Linked DNA regions of Sus scrofa. The protein of the gene in region 2 purifies or fractionates together with the protein of the main gene of each other region. This does not show direct contact. Links are inferred from orthologs where the notes say so. Each region holds a gene or a part of one and is shown on either strand. Other genes may lie near its edges.

Region 1 (8,330 bases), on a different chromosome or scaffold from region 2:
CTGAGGCCAACAGTGTCTGGACAAAGCGCCCAGCAAAGGAGATGAAAAGGCCACCTGCCTCAAAGCCCACGGCAGTGACATTTCGGATCACGCAATCAGGCCCCTAAAGCTGGCAGAGAGGCACCAGGGGGCAGAGTCAGAGCAGCACTGAACCTTCCACACCAGCAGTGGAAAATCAAGTAAATGCTGCAGTAAGTCCCCAAGAAGAAAATGAGTTTCAACCTAGAAACTAACATTCAGGAGTTCCTATCATGGCTCAGCGGTAACGAACCCGACCTGTATTGAGGAGGACACGGGTTTGACCCCTGGCCTCGCTCAGCGGGTTAAGGATCTGGCGTTGCCGTGAGCCGTGGTGTAGGCCAGATCTGGCATTGCCATGGCTGTGGTGTAGGCTGGTGGCTACCGCTCCAATTCAACCCCGACCCTGGGAACTACCACATGCTGTGGGCACGGCCCTGAAAAAAAAGGGAAGAAATTTGCAAATAGTCAGTGTGAAGGTTTATAAAGCAATTCACTTTTCAGACACGCAGCACTTACACACTCTCTGAACAAGATACAGGAAGATACGCTCCATCAAAACAGGGAGGAAAGATCAATCCAGAAAACACACAGGAGAGGACTAAGGATGCTTCCAGAACCTTCCAAAGTGGGGCAGGAAGGGAGGGGCCCCGGGAGGGACGACGGGACAGCAAAGACCCAGGGCGTGGGGGTGAGGCAGCAGGGCGGGCAGTACGGGGCACGGGGCACACACACAACTGCCACCAGGCCAGGAGAAACAGGCTCGGGCAGGAGCCAGAAATCAGCACAGGTCGCCGTGTGGCCCTGGGAGCAGCGCAGCTCCGCCCCAGTCACGACAGAATCAGGAGATTCCAGAGCAAAGGACTGGCGTCGAGGCCAGAATCTGTGCACAGGGGCTGCGGGTGGGCGCGGATGGCGTGGCAGGGCTCAGCCCACCTGTCCCAGGAGAACTCCACCTCCAAATCAAGAGGACGAGGAGGAGAGGCACGGACACGCGCACCCCGAAAACGCAGGAAAAAAGCTGGGCAGTGATGGCCTCTGAAGAGCAAGGTCTGAAAAGCGAGGCGAGAAAGACGAAGGCGTGGAGTTTCAGGTGCTTTTCATAACAGCGACAAGCACAAGCCCAGGCAAAGAGCATCCAAGGCAAGAACAGGAACTGAGGTCCGCTATTTCCAAAGCATCCGGAGAAACGCCACCGCCAGAAAGGACCGGCTCCCGTGGGGGCCCAAGGACACAGTCCCGCTCACACGAGAGGGACACGGAAGCGGTCCATCTCACGGGTCCCTGTGGGGGGCATGAGAGCCTCTGCTCCCGACCTCGAAGAGCAATAAAGAAAGGGCAAGAATCAAGCACTGTCTGGAAACCAAGCCAGGCCGGGTCTCCACAGACGCCGAGGAGGAGAAGGGGGACGCGAACCCCCCGCTATGATCCCAGCAGCACCAGGAAGACTTGCCAGGCAACCCGACCAGGGGCAACGGGTGCCCTACCTGCTAAAGATGGAGCGACCGCCAGCCTGCAGGAGACGGGACAGAAGAGGGAGGGCCTCCGGGGAGGGGGGGCGTGCACACACACAAGCACAAGCACACAGGCAGGCACGCACACACAAAGGGGCACACGCACATACACAGGCACACACAAGCACACACGCAGGCACACATGCACACAGGCACGCAGGCACGCACACACACAGGTGCACACGCGCACACACAAGTGCACACGCGTGCACACGCAGGCACGCGCAGGCGCTCCAGCACCACCGCACCTGGCGCTCGCAGTAGGCCTTCATCAGCTTGCTGAGCGGCGTGTGTCTCTTGATCTTGAACTGGACCACGGAGCCGTCCTGCCCGGCCACCTTCAGGTTGATGTGGTCATTCTCCGTCTTCACCCCCTCCTGCAACGACACGCGGATCTGGCCTCCGCCCGCCTCCCCACTGCCCGCCGCTCAAAGGCCAGCGTTCGGCGGCGGCTGGTCTCCCCGACATCATTGGAACCAACCCAATTCCCCCCTCGCTCCAGCAATCCCACCTCTGCCCAGAAGCCTTGATTTCCGCACAGAACTTCTAACACGTCCCACGTCTAATGTCTTCAGACTCGATTCGAGGGAGAACACCCGCCTAACGGACCCCGGAACCCACAGAGGGCAAGTCCATCTTTGCCCTGAGATCACTTAAAAAAAATCATTCATTGACTTATTTTGCCTTTTTAGGGTCGCACCCATGGCATTTGGAGGTTCCCAGGCGAGGGGTCAAATCGGAGTTGTAGCTGCCGGCCTCCACCACAGCCACAGCAACGCCAGATCCTTAAACCACTGAGCAAGGCCGGGCATCGAACCCACGTCCTCATGGATACGAGTCGGGTTCATACCACTGAGCCACAATGGGAACTCCCATTGTGTTTTTTGATGTACAAAATTTTTACAATTTTCACGAAGTCTAGTTTGTCTGTTTTTCTTCATGCTGCCTGTGCCACTGGTGTCACATCCAAGAAGCCACTGCCAGGTCCCATGTCATGGAGCTTTCCTCTGTTTTCTCCCGAGAGTTGTACTGTTTTAGGTCCTTGGTCCACCTTGAGTTAATTTTTGCATATAGTGACAAGAAAAATCCAACTTCAGTCTTTTTTTTTTTTACGGCCACATGTGCAACATATGGAGGTTCCCGGGCTAGGGGTCCAATCGGAGGTGTAGCTGCCGGCCTAACAGGACAGCCATGGCAAGGCAGGATCCAAGCTGCGTCTGTGGCCTACACCACAGCTCACAGCAATGCTACATCCTTAATCCACCGAGCGAGGCCAGGGATCGAACCCGAAACCTATGGGTACTAGCAGGGTTCCTTAGCACTGAACCACAAGGGGAATGCCTCCAACTTTATTCTCTTTGCATGTGGACATAGGATGCATTGCTTTTTTAATGAGAAGGTACTGGTGTGTTCAATGAGACGCAGGGGCCAGAGCACAAAGCAGACAGAGACAGGGCAGGGGCTGAAGGCCAGGCAGAGGAAGGCACCGAGACCACATGGCCTGTGCCCGGCCCTGGTGAATTCCCAATAAGCCAGTGAACTACTGCAAAGAAAGGGGGTGGACAAGACCCACAGTTCCGACCAGCAGGCCTCTGCCTGTGCTCTCCAGGGAGGCAGAACTGGCCTCCCAACGGATCCCAAGGTTTTCTTTTCACCAAGATGGGCTGGAGCGGGCCTCCTACCACCCCCAGGCCCAGAGGAGAGCTCGGCAGGCAGCGAGGCTGTGGTGGGCAGGGGTGGGGCACGAGGCCTTGTCTGGAAAGCAGTGAAAACAAGTTTATTCAACTGAATTGGGCTGTGGGCTGGACCACGTGGGAGAGCTAAGTTTAAACACACCGAAGGAATGAGATCTATGTGTATTTCATCGCATTTAAACTGCAGAAAGAGGCCCCCAGAAAGCATGAAGAAGGGGCGCTTGTGTTCAGCCTCCAATAAACAAAGGATCCAGGGCGCGAGCGCTAGCAAAGGCTGAGTGAGAAATGTAACTGGCCGCAAGGAAAAAGCAAAGGCAGGAGTTCCTGCTGTGGCGCAAAGGGACTGACGGGTCTCTGCAGGGGCAGGGAGGGACATGAGTTCGATACCAGGCACAGTGGGTAAAGGTTCAATGTTACCATAGCCGTAGCATAGGACACAGCTCTGCTGGGATTCAACCCATGGCACAGGAACTGCATGTGCCATGGGGCAGCCAAAATAAAAGAAAAAGAAGTAATAAAATAGAATAAAAAACAAAGCTCCAACTGCACCCGGAGAGAGGAAGCTCCTGAGGGCACCTCTTCTCACAGGCCCCACAGTGGGCTCCCGACCTGGGGCTCAACCAGGGGGTCTCTGACCAGGGGTTTGGTGACCAGGGGTTCCGTGCCCTGGACCCCAACCCCAGCTCTGCCTCCTGGGCTCCAGCCTCAGCTGCAGGGGGGGAACCTCCAGCGGGGCTGGCAGCAGAGAAAGCCTGCACGCCATCGTTCAACTCGCAGCAGATCTGCTACTTGGAAAACACTGACCCCAAGGGTCCAGAAGCCCGTCTTTAATAGGAGGGGGAGGGCTAAGGGCCAGCGCAGCAGACTCAAGGGCGCAGACCTGACAGCCTGGGGGAAGGGCGGCAGGGGGCACACAGTAAACGACGGGGGAGGTGGGCGCACGCCCAGGGGGGCGACCGTGCCTCCAGACAGGTCAGGCCTCTCAGAGCCCCTGTCCCCAGCCTGCGCCCCCTCGGGCTCTCCGCAGTGAGAGCTGAGGAGGAGGCCCTCCGAGGGGCAGTAGGGCCCAGGCAGGCCAGGACCTTCGGTCCTGGCATGAGGGGCGCAGCGGGGGGAGAGTCCGAAGAGGAAAGAGGTTCTGGGGAGGGGCGGTCCCAAAGGGGGACGAGGGGAGACCCAGGCGGGTCCCAGCCAGGAGGGTCAGGTCCAGGAGGGTCCAGGATGGTCCAGGATAGGGGTGCCACTCGCCGAGACAACGGGGCGGGGCTCTTCGGGGGCGGGGCGGGGCCGTGGGGGTGGAGCTCGTGTCTTGGGGGGGGAGGCCTGGGAGGGGCGGGGCTCGGGACGGGGCGGGCCCCGTGGGGAGGGGCCTGGGCGGAGGGAGGGGCCTGGGCGGAGGGAGGGGCCTGGGCGGAGGGAGGGGGCGCGCGGCGGGGCGCGCGGCCGGGCGGGGGAGGGGAGCCGAGCGGAGCCCGGCGGCGCGGGGGAGGGGGCCGGGGAAGCCGGGTGGCGCCGCGGACCCCGGGCCCCAGAGGCCGGCGGCGGGTCGGAGGGCGGTGCAGCACGGGGCGCAGGCGGGGGTGGGGACGGCGGCGACGGCGGCGTGGGCTGGAGGCAGAGCACGGGCCCGCGCCCTACGGCCCTTACCTTGGGCTTCTCCTCGGACATGGCTGCGCGCGGCGGGCGGCGGGGCAGCAGCAGCGCCGGGCGGGCGACTCACGCTCTCGGCCCGCCGCTCTCCCGCCGCAACTGCTCTCGGGGCCGCGCTTTGCCCCCAAATCCCTGCGCGCCGGTTGGCCGGCGCGGGTCACGTGGTGGGCGCGCGTGCACGAGGCGCGACCCCGGGGCGTCGGACGCGCGCCTGGCCTGCCGGCCGAGGTTCCTGGCGGTTGGAAATGCGTCACCGGGCGGGGCCCCGCGAAATCCGGCGTCGGGGTTGGGGGTTCCCAAGGCAGCGGGGGCTCGGGTCCGCCCGAGGGGTGGGGGGCGCGCTGGGACCCGGGAGGCGTGCAGGGCAGCTAGGGTGGGGACGGTGGGACCCAGGGGGCACACGGGGCAGCGATGGGGGCAAACTGGAACCCCGAGGTGCTCAGAGAACCGGGCCAGGAGGCCTTGCGCTTTATCATGGAGCCTGAGAACGGCCCCTGCTCTGGTCCCCATAACTGGTCCCCCTACTGCAGCAGCACCAGTCAAGCCTAAGTGCACCCACTGCTTTTCTTTTCTGGTTACGGTGTTTCTCAGAGGAAAAAAAGGAAAATAAAGCCAGCCAGGCGAGCCACTCCAGGGGACGTGAGTGAGAACAGTGTCTTGGGAGGCGCCCCCACTACTGGGGAAGGTGCAGCTTGCCTTCGCCCGGAGCCAAGTGTCGGACCTCGAAGTGGAGTGAAGGAAGGGGTGGAGGCTGACCCACCCGGCCACTCCGTCCACCAAGGAGTCAGGGCATGACTTCCTTTAGCAAACCCACTCAGGCTCCAAGGTCCGGCCACCTCCACTCTGCGATCCCAGGGGACGGAGGCATAAATGGCATTTCTGGGAGGGAGACGGGGAGGCAGAAGCCTCTCTCTGTGATGGGCTAGGCTGCTTGTTCTTCTCCCCCTGTCCAGCCCCCTTCTGAGCTTGGCCAGTGGAAGCCGAGCACCTGGGGCAGGTGGGGACCGCTTTGCTACCCTACCTGGAAGCTGTGCACCTGACCTTTACATCAGCCCATTTTACAGGTGAGGAAACTGAGTTACCTGACGTCCTAGCGTGGGTGAGCAATGCCGCTGGGATGTGAGCACAGGCAGTGGTCCGTGTGTCTGACCAGTGTGCTCTGCTGCCTCGGGACAAACCCAGGGCTCAACCCCAGCAGGACAGGCTGAAACGGGCACTCAGGCAACCTCGGGAAATGTGGTGAAGAATGGGCCCTGGTCAGGAAGCCCTCCAGGATTCTGAGGCCCTGGCTCTTCCTGCCCTCCCCGTCTCCACCCCATGCCTCAGAGGAAAGGGACCAGCAGTGGCCGACGTGGACTGACCCCTCGGGTGTGCCGGCTGTGGTCCCAAGCACGCATCAAGGCTCACAACACTCTGCAGCAGGGACCTTAGCCCCCTGTTCTTCCGGTCAGGGAATGAAGGTTGCACAGGGTCACGCACTAGGAGGTGGCAGGGTCTGGATTTGAACCCAGGTCACTAGATGGCTTCCATCTGAAGGCCCTGCTGACGGGGTTCTGCTTGCTTCCTGACGCTGTCGAAAGGCCACAGGGCCAGGTATTGATGGGCCTTAATTTCACAAACCACTTTGGACCCTTCAAAACACACTTCCTTGGGTGTTCCCATTGAAACAAACCCAACTAGCATCCATGAGGATGAGGGTTCAATCCCTGACCCCACTCAGTGGGTTAAGGAGCCGGTGTTGCTGTGAGCTATGGTGTAGGTCGCAGACATGGCTTGGATCTGGTGTTGCTGTGGCCGCGGGGTAGGCCGGCCGCTATAGCTCTGATTCAACCCCTAACCTGGGAACTTCCATCTGCTGCCGGTGGGGCCCTCAAAAATGAAAAAAAAAAAAAAAATCACATCCTTGGCTAGAGGCCCCGTTTAGGAGAAGGGAAGGCGCTTCCAAGAAACGGAGCTGCCACGTAGCAGGCTGACGAAGTCTCTCCATCGAAAGGTCCGAGCAGAGCCAACCTCCATCTCAGCCAGGACTGAGGGTCCTGGAGTCCGGACGGTGTCGCCTCTACCAGGGGGCCCTCGGGTACAACGACTGGCTCAAGCTCTGCTTCCTGGAGAGGGGGGTCTCCGGGAACTGGCCCCTTCCAGAACAGAGATGGACAGTGGGGCCCAGAACTGCCCCCGGCTGACGGGCTGTGGGGTAGCTTCGCGTAGGCGGCGTTTGGACCCATCGTTCGTCGTCGGCTCTGAGACACCATCAGCTGTAAAGCATGAAATTGGTTTATTTAGCACAGACGCGTTAAACCAAGACAGGTTTTGGACGGAAGACGTCCTGGTTTCAGACTTGCTGAAGGGTGAAAAACCTATGGCTTAGAATTGATGAAATGCAGTATCTAAAGGTGTTCCAGTAAGGATTCGAACTGTGGTTCATTCGTAGGACGAAAGCCTGCGTCCCCAGTAAAAGAAATGTGTAAAAAAAGAGTCCTTGGTGACAGGAAGAGATGCGCATATGTTGAGTCATTTTTTTTTTTCTTTTTATGGCCCCACCCGCGACACATGGAAGTACCCAGCTCAGGGGTTGAATCAGAGCTGCATCTGGGGCCCATGCCACAGCCACAGCCACACCAGATCCGAGCCGCCTCTGCGACCTATGCCGGATCCTGAACCCACTGAGCAAGGCCGGGGATGGAACCCACACACTCACAGAGGCTATACCAGTTCCTTAACCCGCTATGCCATAACGGGAACTCCTGCTGATACATTTTTTAAAAGTGAATTATAAAACTATTGCAGTTTTGAAGTTCCCTGGTGGCTCTCAGGTTAAGGATCCAGTGTTGTCACTGCTGTGGCTTGGGTCTCTGCTGTGGCGTGGGCTCCCTGGCCCGAGAACCTTTGTATGCCGTGAGCGCAGCCAAAAAAAAAAAAAGCCTATGGTTTTGAACGATCAGAAAATCTGTATGAAGTATGTTGAAGCTCTGCTTGAAGACACCAAATGGCTACCAAAACAGAAGAGACTCTCTCTGAGGGCAGAGATCCCAGAAGGAAGGGAAGTGGTTTTTCTTTCAGGGGTTTAGTGACTAGTATGGTGTGTCATCAGCTCAGTGGCTGTAACAAAATACCACAGCCCGGGCAGCTTGAGCAAATATTTATTCCCTCACAGTAGTGGAGGCTAGAAGGCCAAGATCAAGGCGGGCAGGTGGGTTTCTCCTGGGGCCTCTCTCCTCGGCTCGAAGGCGGCCACCAACTCCCCGTGTCCTCGCGGGGCCTTTCCTCTGCGTGTGCGTGGAGGGGCAGTGCCGTCCCTTAGGTATACAGCGGGCGAGGGGCTGAGACCCTGAGCAGAGCCTCTGGGTCTGAGGGGATGGAGGAGATAGTCCCTGGGCATGGCCGGGCAAGGTAAACTGGCTGGGGGCTCTGATGATGCCCCGGAGCTTCGGCTGGAGCTCTGGGCCTACAGCAG
Region 2 (8,230 bases):
CCATATGCCGCGGAAGCGGCCCAAGAGAGATAGCAACAACAACAACAAAAGACAAAAGACAAAAAAAAAAAAAAAAAAAAAAACGAATCTGACTAGTATCCATGAGGATGTAGGTTTAACCCTGGGCTCACTCAGTGAGTTAAGGATCTGGCATTGCCGTGAGCTGAGGTGCAGGTCACAGACAAGGCTCATATCCCAAGCTGCTGTGGCTGTGGTGTAGGCTGGCGGCTACAGCTCAGATTCTACCACTAGCCTGGAACCTCCACATGCCTCAGGAGCATCCCTAGAAAAAAAAAAGCTGGGGACAGGAGTTCCCTGGTGGCCTAGCAGTTACGCAGTCAGTGTTGTCACTTCTGTGGTACAAGTCACTGCTATGGCAAGGTTCGATCCCTGGCCAGGGAACTTGTGCATGGCAGGAGGGCAGACCACCTCCCTCCAAGTCTACATTTCTGATTCTCTGGCATCACTAGGTCCACACTCCCCCAAGGCTACAGCTGGCTGGTGCTAAGTGCAGTTGCCCCCCTTTAAATGGGGCAAGTGTTGGCCCTGTCTGTCCAGACTCCTCCCTTCAGGACAACATGCATGCTTCCCTTGCTGGCAATAGTTATGGCCTGTCCCCTCCAAGGCCACAGGACTTCTGAACCTTGACACAGCACCCTCCCTGACCACCCCCAACCCATACCTTTTTGACCATGGTTGTCTCAGATGAATCAAGTTTGGCTCTCTTGGTATCAGGTCCATCTTCTACTCCTTGACTAACTTTGGCAACTTTGGTTTTCTCCCTAGAGGGTGACAAGGGGAGGGGATCAAGTTCTAGCCTACTAATCAGGCCATTAGAACAAAAAGAATATCACCAGCTCACTGAGCAGGATGATATTTAAGAGCAAAAGGTCGTATAGATCTGGGTTCACATCCCAGCCTGGCCACTGATTACCTGATGTGGCACTTAGCCACTCTGTGGGAGTAACAACCCTTGCAGGATTATTGAAAGAGAAATAACACACTTAGCACACTGCCCAGCACATAGTAAGTTCTCAGTAAACTTTGTAGACATTCTACTTGAATCCTGTGCTAGAGAGCTGAACTTAATCCCTTCCCCTGCCATAAGGAGCGTACATTAAAATCACCTGGCCTTCTTCCCCTACTGACTTGCTTTTTTGTCTTTTGTCTTTTTAGGGCTGCACCCTCGGCATATGGAGGTTCCCAGGCTGGGGTCCAATCAGAGCTGTAGCTGCCACCTAAGCCACAGCCACAGCCACACCAGACCCAAGCTGCATCTTCGACCTACACCACAGCTCACGGCAACGCTGGATCCTTAACCCACGGAGCAAGGGCAGGGATTGAACTCACGTCCTCATGGATACTAGTCGGGTTCATCAACCACTGAGCCACAACGGGAACTCCTACTATGACTTCTTTATCCATTTATAATGTGCACAAAGAACTAGGTTTTCTTAAAGCCATAAAACATTAGTTACGAGAGACTTTGAATGTTTGGCCTTCCCCCATCTCAATTTCAGAGGCAAGAAACTTGTAGACCAGAGAAATTTCAGTGACTTATCTGAGACTCTGAATCCAAGAAAGCAGTTCTTGACTCTCAGTGGAGGCTTCACCTACCTCACAGGGCCTCTCTTCACCTCGCATCAGCAAGGTGGGTGGTCAAAAGTTACAAACCCCAAACAACTCATGTACTTTAACAACGCTGGTGTCATCTGCCATCTTTCATCTAGAAGCTACGAGTTCAAAACTGCAGGTCCCCTCATGAGAATCACCACGGTCTGCAACCTCAACGTTTAGAGAGGAGATCTGTTTGCTCCACCAGAGCAGTTTCTGGACCCTGGAGCTTTCCCAAGGTGGACTGTGGTACAACATACCTCCAGAGCCACCCATCTAACTATTTAATACTCACTTTACTATCGCTCACCCTGAACACAGCAAACCCGAGCTGGGGAACGAATGTTTACAATCCAAACACGTCTCCCCTAGACAGACTGTGGCTTTACCACCACAAGGCCAGACTGATCAGATAACATACCCCTGTGGTGTGCTTTCCTCATGCTCTAGAAAAGGCAGGGCCATGTCTCTTGCAATTTGAACATACAATCCACGTATTCAGTAAGCTGGTAATGAACTGGTTTTCCAAAATGCTAAATGTTATAGCAATCTACTTTGCTTAAATGGCTCATTTCTGATCAGTAAATAAGACTACATTTTGAAGAGTTCCCATTGTGGTTCAGTGGTTAACGAACCTGACTAGTAACTGTGAGGTTGCAGGTTCCATCCCTGGACTCGCTCAGTGGATTAAGGATCCAGCGTTGCGGTGAGCTGTGGTGTAGGTCGCAGATGCAGTTCGGATCCCGCGTAGCTGTGGCTGTGGTGTAAGCCAGTGGCTACAGCTCCTATCAGGCCTCTAGCCTAGGAACCTCCATATGCCTCGGGTGCAGCCCTAAAAAGCAAAAAAAAAAAAAACAAAAAAACAAAAAACTACATTTTGAAAATGCTATGTTCTCTCCTCCTCTCCCCAAACTTACTCCACAAATTCATGCTCTCCAAGATTGGCAAATGTGTATCCGTGGTAGCCAAAAACATCTCCTGTGAAGAATTTGATGCTGTTTTTGTGACAGATCTGGTCAACTTTAACTATGACATCCCTGGAGCAGCAAGTTAGACAAACCTGCAGAAAGAAAGAAAGCAGCTGGGTGTGAATTGTGCAGACTGTGAATCACTGCCCCTGATGTCTAAATAAATCTTAATGAACAGTCTCTCTGGGCATCGGGCATGTCTAAAAAGCAGTTTCAAACTGGTACAACAGGTTCTTCGGATGCTATGAAGACAAAAGAAATGTTTCAGTGTACAGAAAACGTAAATTATGAGACCGTCACTTTACCTTCTGCAACCAGAACGAGACGTGTTTAGCAGGAGAGTGAAAGGCATTCCATGAACTTGCTCCCCTAATTCATGAACATATATAAACCACACTTCATAGTTTTCATGAAAAGACAATAGTAATATAACTTAGAGTGAATTATTTCTAACTTACTAAACCTATTAAAATTGGAATAAGCTATAGGGAGAAGCAAAACTAGTTTCTGAAATTCACCTAAAGGTCATGTTTAAATACAAGGGCATTTTTCCTTCCTTCTTTTGATAGATATGTTAAGATAAAGAAGATAAACAAGTCCTATTGAGATTATTTTTCCAGTTTTCGATGTGAAACTTTATCTGAATTTAAGGACAAAAGAAAAGGTTACAGACCAAGTGACCTCCCATTCAGACCTAGACAATGAGCTGGTGATTCACTCAGTGGAATTATCAAAGTGGCTCTGACACCTCTAGGTTGTTTTCCAGTAAATGGAGGTATTGGAAACAGCTAAGTTTTAAGGCACAGAACATCGGTCTCTTCTGGGGAGAAGCTTTGTGATCAGGGCCAAGAAGACACCTTCTAAATTGCACATGTTTTCTTCTGAACACTGAAAGCTGGAAAATCACAAAATGATATTTTCATTTGATAAACCCCTTTGCTCTTGTCTGGTAGCCTGAATACTGAAATAACGCTTACAGAGAAATATGAACCTCTGCTGCCATTCAAAGGGTGCAGGCACCCGAGGAAAAAATCAAAGAGATAAGACAGCGGCAGTTGAACATACAACCAACTGACCAAATGAAGCCCTGAAGTCAAAAGCGAGTGTTAAAACCTCAAGGACCGGTCAAATGTGGCTCAAACACAAGGACGTCACACTTGCCCCGTGAACACGTGTGATACAAGCCAACAAACCCCTGGTTTGGTTCCAACTAAGCTTTCAAGGGACACCTAGAGTACACCAAATGTGGTTATTATGGATAAAGACATGAAGAGAGGACTTAGGTCCAAATGGAAAATATTCCAGTACCTGAACTTACAAAATAGAATGATTTTTTTAAAAAGGGACAAATGCACAGATGATCACCATTCCAAGCCCACATTTGAACAGATGCACATATGAAATGTAACAGTGTGAAAAACAAACTACCAAACCCAGATTTCACTCTTTCATGTAATGGGCCTTTCATTTAAAAAAAACAAGTAGGTCATGTGCGACTACTTCATGGTTATCCAACATTTGTGAAGCTTTTCCAGGGTACAGGGAACCACGTCTGAAAGGTCACAGATACTGAACAGAACTTAACTTCTCCTTTCACCTCTGCAAAGATTTGGCAGTGAAATCAAATGAGGTTGGACATGGCTCATTTGGCTTATGACTATAGTGATTTTGTCTAGTTATCCATGGCAACATGGTCAAAGTGGCTGCGTGAGCGAGACATAGACAGACCAAGATCAGGTGTGCTCTTTTTAAAGACAAAACACAAGCTGTAGTTTGATATTTCTAACACACACAAAAAAATGACTCTGCTGCAAGAAATTAATCACCAACTTGTTAAGCTTTCAGGAGAAAACATTTGCAATAAAATGTATAGAAGCTACATGCAAAGATTCTGGATAGAAGACAAAACACCAATGACGAAACCTGGTCTTGGGGAAAATATGCCCAAAGGAGAAACCAAAAGATAGCAACTCAGGAGTTCTGGTCGTGGTGCAGCGGAAACGAATCCGACTAGGAACCATGGGGTTTCAGGTTCGATCCCTGGCCTCACTCAGTGGGTTAAGGATCCAGCGCTGCCGTGAGCTGTGGCGTAGGTTGCAGACAGGGCTCAGATCTGGCATTGCTATGGCTGGGTGTAGGTCGGCAGCTGTAGCTCCGATTAGACCCCTAGCCTGGGAACCTCCATATGCCGCGGGTGCGGCCCTAAAAAGACAAAAGACAAAAAAAAGATAGCAACTCACAAGCAACTACAGCTGATTCAACAGACTGGATCTACCTACCAATACACTCAATATACTAAGGCAACACACTAATAAAGCATACACACTAAGGCAATGTAAGACTTCCATCTGTAAGGCAACAGACTAAAACTAAAGAACAGAACAGCTTATAAATCTACTTGGGAAAACACTCAGATCTGAAATTCTAATGCTCCAGTGTACCTAGTATATATGCCACTAATGCTTTAATTTGCTGAATTCCCACCGCAGATTTTACATTCCCTATGAAACTTACAGCATCGAACTGAGTGAAAAATGACTCGGGTTTGTTTTCTATATTCTCAGTGTCCACCTTCACATCCACCATGGGGTTGAGATTCTGTGCTCGCTCCAAAGAGGCTTCAGCCCTGTTTCGGCCAACAGACCCAGTTCGGATCAGGAACTGAGCTCCAGGGTCTTCTGGTGATACCTAGAAATATATATATATATATATATATATATTTTAATACCTAAATTTAGGGGGAAAACAAATGGATTTTTCCATTTTGAAGGATAACTAAAGTATCTACCATTTAATTGTATTACTACTATTCCTATAGGAATTTGCCCAATGCAGAGTTCCTATACTCTCTCCTTCTGAGATTTTAAAACATATTTAACGGAGTTCCCATTGTGGCTCAGCGGTAACAAACCCCACCAGTATCCATGAGGATGTGGTTGATCCCTGGCCTCACTCAGGGGTTAAGGATCCGGCATTGCCATGAGCTGTGGTGTAGGTCACAGACACAGCTCGGATCTGGCATTGCTATGGCTGTGGTGTAGGCCAGCAGCTGCAGCTCTGGTTTGACCCCTGTCCTGGGAACCTCCACAAGCTATAGGTGTGGACCTAAAAAGATAAAAAATAAATAAAACAAAGTAAAATAAAATAGATATTTAACTTTTCTTTTGGCCTCACCCATGGCATGTGTAATTTCCCAGGCCAGGGATCAAACCTGCACCACAGCAGTGACCCAAGCCACTGCAGTGAGGACAATGGATCCTTAACTCCAGGAGCCACAAGAGAACTCTCAAAAACTTTTTTTTTTTTTAAACTGGGCATTCACAGTTAAAGAGCACCCCCTTGTGTTTATAATGAAAATTCACTCTAAACAAGAAAGTCCTTGCTTCCTTAAGTAAGTTTGTAACTGAAAATTAACGATATGACATAATTATCAGTGCTAAGAATTAACCGAATACCTACCATGTGCCCAACTCTAAACCATGTAGAAATACATAAGGAGTTTAAAGGATGTAGTCCCTACTTACAAGTGGTTTAAAATCAGACCATGAGATCCTGCTGTATAGCACAGGGAACTATATCTAGTCATTTGTGATGGAACATGACGGAGGATAATGTGAGAAAAAGAATATACATATATATATAATACATATACATATATATAATGTATGACTGGGTCACTTTGCTATACAGCAGAAATTGACAGAACACTGTAAATCAACTACAATAGAAAAAATAAAAATCTTAAAAAAAAATTAGATCAATGCAAATCAGACACAATTAAGAATGTTTGAAATAAACTCTTATATTCAGTCAAAACTCGGACAGGAGGAGAGATGAGGGGAGGCTGGAGCAGAGGGATAATTTCACTTATAAGGCCAGATGTCAGCAGAAGCCTCAAAAACAGATAATATTATCACCTGACAGCCACCAATAGGATTACAGATTTCACTATTCAAAATACATTTCTTGGGGGAATTCCCATCGTGGCTCAGTGGAAATGAATCGGACTGGGAACCATGAGGTTTCAGGTTTGATCCCTGGCCTCGATCAGTGGGTTAAAGATCCAGCGTTGCCGTGAGCTGTGGCGTAGGTCGCAGACAAGGCTCAGATCTGGCGCCGCTATGGCAAAGGCCAGTGGCTACAGCTCCTATTAGACTCCTAGCATGGGAACCTCCATATGCCAGGGTTGCGACCCTTAAAAAAAAAAAAAAAAGACCAAAAAAAAAAAACTTTCTTCACACAAAAAACATCTAATATAGGAGTTCCCTGGTAGCCTAGTAGGTTAAGGATCCAGTGCTATCACTGTACCAACTTGGGCCACCTCTGTGGCACAGTTTGATCTATGGCCCAGGAAATTCTGCATGCCAATGGCACAACCAAAATAAACAAAAACCCCCAAAACACCTAATTTAACCATTAATCTCCATGTCTGACCTCACCACCTTCACCAAGACTGGGGTCAGCAGAAGTAATTGTCCTCCTCTCCTGCCAACCAGCCACAGCATACACTCTTCCTTCCCTCCTGTTCAAAGCCAGGATCCTGACCTATCCTGCACAATTCTTCAGGGATCTCACCACATACAGGGATTGTACAGCGTGACGGTTAAGAGCAAGGCTCTGTGATAATTCAGGTTGGATCCAAATCTTTGATTCAAGTCCTGGCTCAACCACTTAAGTGTGTGATCTTGAGTGAGTCTGAGGGACTCATACCTAACAGGTGAGGACACTTACTCATCACTCTACCAGTGTCAGTCAGTACCACCCATGCTCCGCTTCTTGGCCTCAGAGAGCCTAGCTCTCCTTCTCCCTCACTGGACATTCCCATCTCTACATGGACTCTCTGAGGTGTGGCTGTTCTCAGGACTCCACCTCAGAACCACTCATCCTTTCACTCTATACAGCTCCATAAGCCAACTCAATGCCTTTTAGTTTCTACCAAAAGCTGCTGTTATTTCTCAAATTGTCTTTCTGCTACAGATTGCTTTCTGATCCATCTGAGTCTTATTTCCTCTGGATATCCCATAGGCCAATTATATTCGATTCCTATATCGTTGTTTCTGTTGATGAGTCCACCAGTGACCCATCTGGTCACCAGAAACCTGGTCTTAGTATCCTTGACATTTCCAGGTGAAATAGCTAAGTGCACGGGCTCTGCCAGGAGTCAGACTGCCCAGTCCTGGTTGTACCACTAACTACTGTGACCTTGGGTAGGCCAATACTTGACTTCCTTTTCCTCTGCTTTCTTATCTGTAAAATAGGAATAATCCCTACATCTCAGAGTTGCTCTGGGGCTAAACGAGACACTATAACTAGAGTTCTCAGAGCAGTGCCACCACCTACAGTGTCAGCTGCTGTAGTTACTCCTTACTCTCCTGTATAGGATCCCACTGATTCTGCCACCTAAGAGATTCTCACCTCTGTGGGCATCTTGCTATACCCATCATCAATGCCATTCCTCAGACCCTTTCCATCTCTCACCTCAACTACTAAAGCAGCCTTCTGCTCCATATTTTGTGCCAACCATAGCCTACAGAGTAACAGTGATTTATAGAAAGCCCAATGATGAGGTCACCACTTTTCCATCTGAAACTCTCAAACAAATCCTCATCACTCACAGCAGAGCTTACAAGCAGGCCCTTCATGTCCTA

Evidence for each region.
Region 1: the proteins of SAE1 (region 2) and SUMO3 purify together in Homo sapiens (affinity purification with mass spectrometry; 3 studies listed by BioGRID and IntAct, with this or other methods). This does not show direct contact. The link is inferred for Sus scrofa from reciprocal best matches to the Homo sapiens genes SAE1 and SUMO3.

The regions. Positions count from the first base shown.
Region 1 is NC_010455.5:207,479,246-207,487,575, forward strand, and holds the start of SUMO3 (small ubiquitin-related modifier 3), read right to left. Parts: upstream 5,118-8,330; 5' UTR 4,895-5,117; coding exon 4,874-4,894; intron 1,910-4,873; coding exon 1,781-1,909; intron 1-1,780. UniProt on the Homo sapiens protein: Ubiquitin-like protein which can be covalently attached to target lysines either as a monomer or as a lysine-linked polymer. Does not seem to be involved in protein degradation and may function as an antagonist of ubiquitin in the degradation process.
Region 2 is NC_010448.4:52,974,984-52,983,213, reverse strand, and holds part of SAE1 (SUMO-activating enzyme subunit 1), read right to left. Parts: intron 5,271-8,230; coding exon 5,097-5,270; intron 2,675-5,096; coding exon 2,532-2,674; intron 783-2,531; coding exon 683-782; intron 1-682. UniProt on the Homo sapiens protein: The heterodimer acts as an E1 ligase for SUMO1, SUMO2, SUMO3, and probably SUMO4. It mediates ATP-dependent activation of SUMO proteins followed by formation of a thioester bond between a SUMO protein and a conserved active site cysteine residue on UBA2/SAE2.